2 linked regions of the Callithrix jacchus genome follow. The protein of the gene in region 1 purifies or fractionates together with the protein of each later gene. This does not show direct contact. Links are inferred from orthologs where the notes say so. Each region holds a gene or a part of one and is shown in the gene's direction. Other genes may lie near its edges.

What was found. The genes of interacting proteins can lie anywhere in the genome.
Region 2: the proteins of HERC5 (region 1) and ISG15 purify together in Homo sapiens (affinity purification with western blotting; 3 studies listed by BioGRID, with this or other methods). This does not show direct contact. The link is inferred for Callithrix jacchus from reciprocal best matches to the Homo sapiens genes HERC5 and ISG15.

What each region holds. Positions count from the first base shown.
Region 1 is NC_133504.1:109,218,380-109,224,233, reverse strand, and holds the start of HERC5 (E3 ISG15--protein ligase HERC5), read left to right. Parts: upstream 1-2,273; 5' UTR 2,274-2,426; coding exon 2,427-2,691; intron 2,692-4,492; coding exon 4,493-4,616; intron 4,617-5,280; coding exon 5,281-5,357; intron 5,358-5,854.
Region 2 is NC_133508.1:39,227,683-39,232,199, forward strand, and holds ISG15 (ubiquitin-like protein ISG15), read left to right. Parts: upstream 1-2,501; 5' UTR 2,502-2,563; coding exon 2,564-2,566; intron 2,567-2,947; coding exon 2,948-3,463; 3' UTR 3,464-3,505; downstream 3,506-4,517.

The sequences.
Region 1 (5,854 bases):
TTGTTATTCATAAATTATAAGATCATTTTGTTCCCCATAAATGTATACAATTATAAATTGCCAATTTACAATTTCAAAAAAAGAGAATTAATTGAAAAATGGTTGGCTAAATAATAAGTAATGAATCAAGAATAATTTTTTTCTTAAGAGACAAGGTCTCACTATGTTGCCCAGGCTGGTCTTGAAATCCTGGGCTCGAGCAATCCTCCTGCCTTGCCTCCCAAGTGCTGGGATTACAGGTGTGAGCCAAAAATAATATTTTTAATAAAACAATATTTTGTAAAGCAACATTTCCTATATCCCTGACCTTGCTATATATATATATATTATATTTAGGAATATCTGTATAGTTTTTATTTTAGCAAACTTCCGAATAATTTATTTGAAAAATCTGAATGTTAAGGTATTCATTACTTCATTGAATAATTACTTGTAGTAGGTACTGTGTGGCAAGAACCATTCTAAAGGCACCAGCATGCCAGCAGGCTATCGATCAGTGGGACAATGTGGAGTTTGTCTAGGGCAATCAGAAGAGAGCCCAGGCTGCTCAGGCGCTCGGCTCTAGGAGAAAACCATCTCCCTTCTGGCTCCCCAATCTGCTGAGAGCTACTTCCACTCAATAAAACCTTGCCCTCATTCTCCACGCCTATGTGTGATCCAATTCTTCTGGTACACCAAGGCATGAACCGGGATACAGAAAGCCCTCTGTCTTTGTGACAAGGTAGAGGGTCTAATTGAGCTGGTTAACACAAGTGCCTATAGACAGCAAAACTAAAAAAGCACACAGTAGCACAGCCACTGGCACTTCAGGAGCTGTAAACATCCTCCCCTAAACGCTGACACATTTATTAAAAGAAAGTTCTCAGCAAGAAAACAAAGGGGGGATGGTCCTGCCAACAGGCTCCCACCTCACAGACTGAATACCAAGCCACCATACACAAGCCAAAGAGGCTCCTCCCTGCTTTATAAGGCTGAATTCCCTGTGGTTGCACCCCATTCTCCCAGTGCAGGCAGGCCCCAGTCCCTTGCCGGCATACCCAGACAAGACCCTCCCCAGTATTCCTCAGATGCACAAAAGCTGTGGGGCAGGTCAGAGATTCTCTGGGTACCCTCACTTATCTGCCTCCAGCATCTATCAATACTATAAAGAATAATTCATTTTAAATATAATGAAGACCAAAAAATTTTAAAAGTTCTAGAAGGTAACAAATGAGGAAATGTTATAATCTTAGTTTAGCAAAAATCTCCTAAGTAGGACAAAAAAGGTATGAACTATGTAAAAGAAAAAAATGGATAAATGACATCAAAATTTAAAACTTCCATGTTTCAAAAGACACTTAAAATGAAGAGGCAAGCCACAGATAGGTAGAAAACATTTCAAAATGTATAGCTAATAAAGAATATGGTATGAAACATACGAAGAACTCAAATATATAAAGACCTCTTAGATAATAAGTCAAGCTAGCTAATAAATAAATGGTCAAAAGATTTGATTACACACTTCACAAAGAAGAGATTCTCCTGCCTCGGCCTCACAAAGTGCTGGGGTTACAAGCAGGAGCCCAGGCCCGGACTTGTTAGTTATTTCCAGTGACCCTTCAGAGGGCAAAGGGGAAGTTTTCTCCTGTTCCCTGTAACTGACAGGCCCATCAATTGGTGAATGGATAAATAAATTGTGGCATATCCACATGATAACCATTCAGCAATAACACAAAGGAATTACTAATGAAACAATAGGATGAATCTCAAAGCATTGTGCTGTTTTAAAAGCCAGACATAAACCACCACTTAGGTATGGTTCCATTAATACGACATTCTAGAAAAGGCTTAAAGCACATCACTGTTGCCAGGCTCCCAGGTGTATGTATAGCGGGGCGGGCTGTCGGGGGGGGTCAGGGAGGGGGCTTGGGGGGGCTGACTGCACAGCTCTCCTTAGTTTCATCCCGGTTTGAGCCTGGCGCACAACGCTTAACAAACTTTGACTTCCGTTATCCCTCCCTCTGGAAATGCGTGTGTCAGGGTGCCTCCTAGCGGAACGGCAGCGTTTCCTTGAAAGCAATTCCGTCCGGGAGTTCAGGTGGTGGTTGCCCGCCCGTGATACTTTCTCAGTTCAGCCAACGGCCTTTACTCTAGCCATCGACCTGTTGCCTTTGGCCGCCTGCCCAGTCACTCTCATCCCAGTTTCCTTTTCCTTTTCAATTCCGCCCCCTAAAAACAACAAACTGTTTCGTTTCCGAATCGAGCTGCTGGCCACGCCCCCAAACAGCAGGGGCGCAGTAGCGGAGGCTGCGGTTCCCCGACGCCACGCAGCTGCGTGCAACCGGTTCCCGCTCTGTCGCGCGACGCCCAGAGCAGTGGGCGCGCCCAGTCCCGGGACGTCGAGTTCTGTCCTCTCGCCTCTGGGCCGGGGACCCAGCAAAGCAGCTATGGAGCGGAGGTCGGGAAGAAAGTCGCGGCGAGACAGGCGCTCGGTCGCGGGCCAGGCCGCCGCGTCCCAGCCCGCGAAATCTCCAGGCGCGCAGCTCTGGCTCTTCCCCAGCACCGCCGGCCTCCGCCGCGCGCTGCTCCGGAGTGTCGAGGCGACGCGTCAGATTTGCTGCTCGTCAGGGCGCCTGGCGTTCCTGGAGCGCGGCGGGGCGGGCGTCCAGGTTCATCAGCTGCTCCCGGGGAGCGACGGCCTCCGGACGCCGAGTGAGTGGGGCTGGTGTGTGAGGGCCGTGAGGGGCGGGCGACCGGGGATCCGCGCCTGAGGGGAGAGAGCCCAGAAGGCCGCACTCGCGAGTCTGGCTCGGGTCGTTTCGCTGACAGCGCACCTGAGCTCTCTTTTACCCTGGTCTTTGTCGGGCGCGGGGTGCGCGGGATGCTGGCAACCAGCGAATCCTGCACTCAGCAACGCGGTTGGCGCAGAACCTGCGGGCAGCATCTTCATCCTTTTAGCCAGTCTGGCTTTTCCACAGGTTTCTGTTCAAGTTGGCCCCCCGCCCCCCGCCCCCCGCTCCCACATCTCCCACTAACTCCTGAGAAAGTAGTCACTGCTCCAACTTTGGGAGCCGTTTTCAGTGATGGGATTTTACCTTCAGTTGCACTTCTCCCACATTCTCATCGAGGTGGGGGAAAATGAATGCCCACACTAAAATTTTACCGTCTGTGAAGTGAAGAAATTGGTATCTTGCTGTGGGTTTGTTTTGCATTTAACTCTAACATCTTTGCGGTTTTCTACTGGGCATTTGCATTCCTTTTTCAGTAAACTGCTTGTTTATCTTTGCCTGGCTTTTTGAAAATTGAGTTGTTAAATCTTTTACTTATTGGTATGGAAGGGATATTTGAATACTGAATAAGAATAGTCTTCTGCTCCTCGTACATGTTGTAATATTTTTCTCACTTTGCCTTTCATGGAATGTTATTTTTTATTGTGCACAGTTTTTTGGGTAATTATCGATTTTTTTCTGTTAAGTAGGCTTATGGATTTTATGTTAGGTTGGAAAGCTACCTACACTCCCAAGATTTTTTAAAAAGTACTCATCTCTAGTAATTTTAAGATTTTTTTTTTTAAGTTAAAATTTTTTGTACGCTTGGAATTTAAGTACTGAGGTAGGTAGGGGGCTAGATTTATTTATTTGTTTTTCCAAATGCCCAGCCAATGTCCCATTACCATTTCTTAATACCTCCTATTTTTCAACTGATTCGAAATGCTGAGTCTCTTTAAAAGAAAGTCTGTTGGGCGATTTCTTATTACCAAACTGTTTTAGTTCTCCTAGCATTTGTAATATGGTTTGTGCTGTGAGACTTTTACAGGAATAGATTCTATTTCATTGTCACTGAAGATGAGACAAGGGCCCAAAACTACCTAGTTTAATTTTTGTGAACAAATTAAATAAGAGTACATTTTAAGTAGAGGACAGTTTAAAATCTCTTAACTTTTAAAAAGGACCAAATGTGCACTAATGCTAATGAAAAGTGTATTCAACCACATCCCCTTTAAAAATAGTCCCCCAAACATAATCTTTCCTTTTAAGAATACAGGCATTGGCTTCTACTGGAAACTGTTGGGAGGTGTTTATTACTATTATTTGCTTTTTGGGAAAAAGGAATATGTTTCAGAATACACAATGTATTGTTCTTGAAATGAGTTATGTTGTCCTAAAGTAATATTTTTTAGAGAACTTTTCATTTGTGTCATTTCAAATTTAGTTTGTCTTCACTTAATAAACAAGAATCTAAAAGCAGATCTTTAATTGGATACTTTAAGGGCATGTTCCATTTAAAACAAAGTATAAATCAATATTTTTTCAAATTAAAAAAAATCTGTCAAGACAATTGTCATTCTTAATTTGCTTTGCCTACCTGAATTTTCTTAAGAGAAATTCATGGTAAGTCAAACCTTGTCTAGTTGAAATTTTTCCCAGATCTTTTAAGTGTATTATAATGAAATCAGTAATACAGTGCGTAATAATAAAAATAATCATCGTTCCTGGTTGAATTTGCTCTGTAGAGTGCATTAAGTTAGGAAAAAACATGAAAATACATTCCATGGACCTGGGAGCAGACCACATGCTGATTCTATCATCAGATGGAAAACCATTTGAGTATGACAACTATAGCATGAAACATCTAAGGTAGGGAACTTTTTTCTTTTATTAATTTTATTAATTATTTTAATTTTAAATAAAAGACAATAATTTTTGTAGGAAAATGTTACCATATCTGATTCTTGTCCCTGCTTTATATAGTAGCATCTTAAGTAAATGATAAATTCAAAACTGACGAGTAAAATCCATGTTTCCCAGGGCAAGTGTAATGTGTTGTTTTGGCATTTAAAGATATTGATTAAATAGTCTGTCTAGCCCTAAATTGGATTTTCACATTCGTTAACTCATATGATCCTCACAATAATCCTATGAGTTAAATTTCCAGAAATAAAAGTTTTTAACCTAGAAAAAAATACGTATATCATGAAATGATTTGTGAGACTTTTCCCTAGTAGATTCTATGAATTAGAACTCATTTTCATCTTGCATTTATTCCTGCATCATAAAATCATTGTTTGCATAGAATATTTTAGTCATTTTATTATAATTATGTAATGCATATTATTTTTTCTTAAACCACTAATTAAAACATATAGTATTTAAAAAATAATTTTAGATGTACTGAATGTGATGCATGAAATTTAAAGTTTTTTCTTGCGCTTTATTTCTAATTAAATACCATTAATAATTGTAAAATCCATATTGTTACTTTCATTATGGTGATTAACATAAAATGTATTTTTTTCATCAGGTTTGAAAGCATTTTACAAGAAAAAAAAATAATCCAGATCACATGTGGAGATTATCATTCTCTTGCACTCTCAAAAGGTATTTTTCTAGAATAACAATAGTTTTTAGAAGTAATACATGTGTGTGTATGTGGAGCCAGTAGAATGTCTATACTTCACTTTGTAACAGGACAGAAATATAGTTTTGTATATTTAAGAATAAGAAATATATTCTTAAAGCAAATACAAAATGAGAGAATTCTTGGATCTATAAAATGTTCAGGTTTCCATAATTACTACTCCTAAATTTGGTTTTATGTTCTTATTTTTCAAGTACAAAACAGTGAAAATTTTCTGAATAATCAAAACTATTTACTATGGAATCTGGTCCAGGCCTGGGGCCACCCTTTCCCAGAAACTTATTCCCTTTTCCTAACATTCTTCCAGCTTCCACTCTTCCGGCTCAGAATCTCCTGGGTCTGATTTTGTGGCCAGGTTGCAGGCCTCTGATATGTCTTAACACTGCCTTTTAAATTCAGGGATTCTCCCTAGTCCTGTAGTATTTATCATTTTCTATCAGACACTGTCATGGTGGAA
Region 2 (4,517 bases), on another chromosome or scaffold:
GTAGAGTGATCTCCACTCACTGCAATCTCCACGTCATGGGCTCAAGTGATTCTCCTACCAAGTAGCTGGGATGACAGGCTTGCATCACCACACCCAGCTAATTTTTTGCATTTTTAGTAAAGACGGGTTTTCACCATGTTGGCCAATCTGGTCTCGAACTCCTGGCCTCCAGTGATCTGCCCATCTGGGCCTCCCAAAGTGCTGGGATTACAGGTGTGAGCCACTGCTCCCGGCCTTTTTTTTTTTTTTTTTTTTTTTTGTATTTTTAGTAGAGATGGGGTTTCACCATGCAGGTCAGGCTGGTCTCAAACTCCTGGCCTTGAGTGATCCGCCTGCCTCAGCCTCCCAAAGTGCTGGGATTACAGGTGTGAGCCACCCACACCCGGCCTAGGCAGATGTTTATGATACATTGTTTCCTGAATGAAGCAGATTACAAACTGGTGAACATACAATGAGGCTTTTTCTCTTTTGCTTTTTATTGATGTGAAAATCATATAACATGAAACTAACCATTTTAAAGAATGTAATCCAGTGGCCTTTATTCATCACATTGTCCAACCATCACTCTACGGCTGTTATCACCCCATCCCTCCTCCCCAGCCCCCGGTAACAGGCCTGACTTCCTGTTCCTGTGGTCTATCCGTTCTGGGCATTTTTCCTGCAGTAAGTGGAATCACACAACCTGCCGCCTTTGTATCTGGCTCCTTTCCCTTAGCATAATGTTTGTGAGGTTCTTTTACATCGTAGCAGGAATCAGTGCTTCAGTCCTTTTCACGGCTGCATAATATTCCATTGCATGGACATTCCACATTTTGTTTATCCATTCATCTCTGATGGACGTTTGCTCTGTTTCCAAGATTTGTCTAATGTGAATTGTGCTGCTATGAACATTTGTATGCAAGTATTTGAACACCTGTTTTCAATTCTTTTGAACACATGCCTGCAAGTGGAATGCTGAGTTACTCAATAATTCTATGTCTAACATTTTGAGGATCACAGTGGCCAAACTATTTTACATTCCCAACAGCAGTGTTATGTGCCATGATTCCAACTTCTCCGTGTAGTCATTCACCAACGCTTGTTATTGTCCTTTATTTTTATTTTATACTAGTTTTTGAGACAGTCTCGCTCTGTCGCCAAGGCTGGAGTGCAGTGGCACAGTCTTGGCTCACTGCAATCTACACCTCCCGGGTTCAAGAGATTCTCCTGCCTCAGCCTCCCAAGTAGCTGGGATTACAGGTGCCCTCCACCACACCTGGCTAATTTTTGTATTTTAGTAGAGATGAGGTTTCTACTAAAAATGTTGGCCAGGCTGGTCTGGAACGCCTGACCTCAGGTGATATGTCTTCCTCAGCCTCCTGAAATGTTGGAGGACATGTTCAGTGAGCCTTCATTTTCATTATTACAGTCATGCTAATCGAAATCAGCTTCTCATTGGGGTTTTGATTTGCATTTCCCCATGAATAATGATACGGCCGCCTTCCCGAGGTACGCAGCTGTTTCTGTGTCACTGGAGAAATGTCTATTGAAGTCTTTTGCCCATTTTAAAATTGACTCGCCTTTTTAAAATTGAGTTGTAAGAGTTCTTTGTACGCCCTGGATGCTGCCCCTCATCAGAGAAATAATTTGAAAATATTTCTTCCCATTCTGTGGATTGTTTTTCACTTTCTCAGTAGGGCCCCAGAATTCATTTTTTTTTTTTTAATAAAAGATATGTCTCTTCTATTAAAAAACAATATGAGGCCTGAGCGTGGCGGCTCAGGCCTGTCATCCCTGCACTTTTGGGGCCGAGGCAGGTGGATCACTTGAGTCCAGAAGTTCAAGACCAACTTGGGCAACATGGAGAGATTCCATCTCTACTAAAAATACAAAAAATTAGCTGGTGCACCTGTGGTCCCAGCTACTTAAGAGGCTGAAGTGAAAGGATCGCTTTGGCCCAGGAGGTGGAGGCTGCAGTGCACTGAGATCGTGCCACTGCACTTCAGCCTGGGGGACAGAGTGAGACCCTGTCTCAAAAAAACAAAAACAACAACAAAAAACACCAATCTGAGCAAACATTTCCCTAAACCAAGTGAGGTTATCTCTGGGTAGTTTGGACGGTCACTGTTTCACTTCCAAGTTTACTAATCTTGCAAACTGGTAAATGGAAAATGAAAACTGCCCATCATTCGTTCATGCGACGATGAGTTACTACATCTCGTGAAGGACCCAGAATGCTGGATACTCAGGTGTTTCCAGGGCGTTGGGCAGGGGTGGGGACGCTGTCCGCTGTCCTGAGTCCCTGTCCCTGACCGTGCCCTTGAGACCCTGCCTACTCTGCTTCTGCTTTTCCCTCTGTTTTCGTCATTCTGTTTTGTTTCTTCTACTCACTCCCGGGCTTGCCTCGGGAAAAGGAAACTGAAACCGAAGCTGAATCTGGCCACTAGGCTCAGGCTCCCCTGGCACGCCCCCTGACATGTGCGGCTCAGGCTTATAAAAGGGCCGGTGGTGGCTCGGGAGCTGGCAGCCCAGAGGCAGCGCATTCATCTTTGCTGTATGGGAGCTTGTGCCACAGCCCACAGCCATGGTAAGGCAGATGCCACAGGTGGGGGCGGGGGGCTGCGTTCAGTCCATTTTCCTCTCTCTTCCCCAGCCAGGGTCTCCTGGGGGTGCAGGGTGCTGAGTGGTCAGCCAGGTGACCTGAACGTTCTCCTGAAAGCGGGTCACCCCGGAGAGTGTCGGGGTGGGGCACAGAGGGGCGTCCTAGCAGGTAAGGGGAGGCCACAAGGTGGCTGTGGGCAGCTGACCTTCTAGCAGTGACCCCTCAGTGCCTTCTGTGCCTGCGGTCCCTGCTGACAACATGTGGATGGAGCAGTATCCCTGGGCACAGGCGCTTGTGCAGCCAGAGCCTCATGTGTGGTGGGCCTGGGGCTGGTGCAGAGTCTCTGAGCCTGTGTGATTCCTGCAGGGCCGGGACCTGACAGTGAAGATGCTGGGGGGCCACGAGTTCCAGGTGCCCCTGAGCAACTCCATGTTGGTGTCAGAGCTGAAGGCAAAGATCACCCAGAAGATCGGTGTGCACGCCTTCCAGCAGCGTCTGGCCATCTACCCGAGTGGCATGGCACTGCAGGACAGGGTCCCCCTTGCCAGCCAGGGCCTGGGCCCCGGCAGCACCATCCTGCTGGTGGTGGACAGCTGTCATGAACCTCTGAGCATCCTGGTGAGGAATGACAAGGGCCGCAGCAGCACCTATGAGGTGGCACTGACACAGACCGTGGCGCAGCTGAAGCGGCAAGTGAGCCAGCAGGAGGGCGTGCAGGAAGACCTGTTCTGGCTGACCTTCGAGGGGAAGCCCATGGAGGACCAGCTCCCGCTGGGAGAGTATGACCTCAAGCCCCTGTGCACCGTGTACATGAATCTTCGCCTGCGGGGAGGCAGCGCAGAGCCTGGCAGGCTGAGCAGAGGGCCTCCTGCCAGCATCTGAGCAGGATCAAGTGCTGGAAATAAAGGTTGCTGCAAGGGGAAATGGATGCCTCTGTGTCTGCGCCTGCCCCTCCAGGGGCCATCTCTGATCTGACCCTGCTGATGGAGCTAGGGGAGGAGTCAGGAGGGAGAACTGCCTCTGTGTCTGCACCTGCCACTCCAGGGGCCACCTCTGATCTGACCCTGCTGATGGGGCTAGGGGAGGAGTCAGGAGGGAGAACACAGGGTATATCCTGGTGGCCAGGCCTGCGTTGCCAAGTGAAGGGCCTGCAGTTACAGCCTCGAGGGATCAAAATAGGGACCCCCCCAAAACTGAAGTAAGACAGGTCTTCCCACCCTTTGGGAAATTATCTTCTAGAGAAAGAAAAAGAGGTGCATTTGATGGAACCCACCTGGCCCTCCAGCATCTGGGACAGCAGACGGCTTGCACAGGGACCAGCCTGCTCAGATCAAAAGGCTACCAGGGAGGCTCATGGAAGCAGTGAGGGGTGATTCCTCGGGGCCTACCCAGTGGGCCGTGAGGCAGGCTCTGCACAGGAACTGGGGCTGGGGGCCTTAGTTATCCCTAGGCAGCATGCACAGCCTGCTCCACCTGCCTGGGCTGGGCTAGGGAGGAGTAGAGACGGTCTGAACCTCACATCACCACTGTGGCCAGCTGCAGAAGAGCAGAAGGCAGCCTGGGTGGCCCCAAGCACACTCTTCAGGGCTCTGCATGAGGGAGGGGCTGTGGCCAGCAGTGGGGGGCACCTGGAATTGAGGCTGACACTGTCCAGGAAGAAGGGCTTGTCCCAGGTGGGGGGACCCAAGTCAGTACAAGCTATACCCCCCTCCCCACTGATGTGCCCTTCCCTGTCTCTCGATTCCAATTTGCTAAATGAGTCCCCCCAGAAGCCAGCTGTCGGCCAGGACACTTCAAGGACACGGCACAGTGGGACACACAGAGTCCGGATTGGGGCACTTGGGCCTCAGCTTTCAGAGCCCTGGAGGGGATGTGGCTGGAGACACAGAGCCCTCCGTGGTCTGTGAGTCCATGTCTGGGTGGGGGATCCCCATCT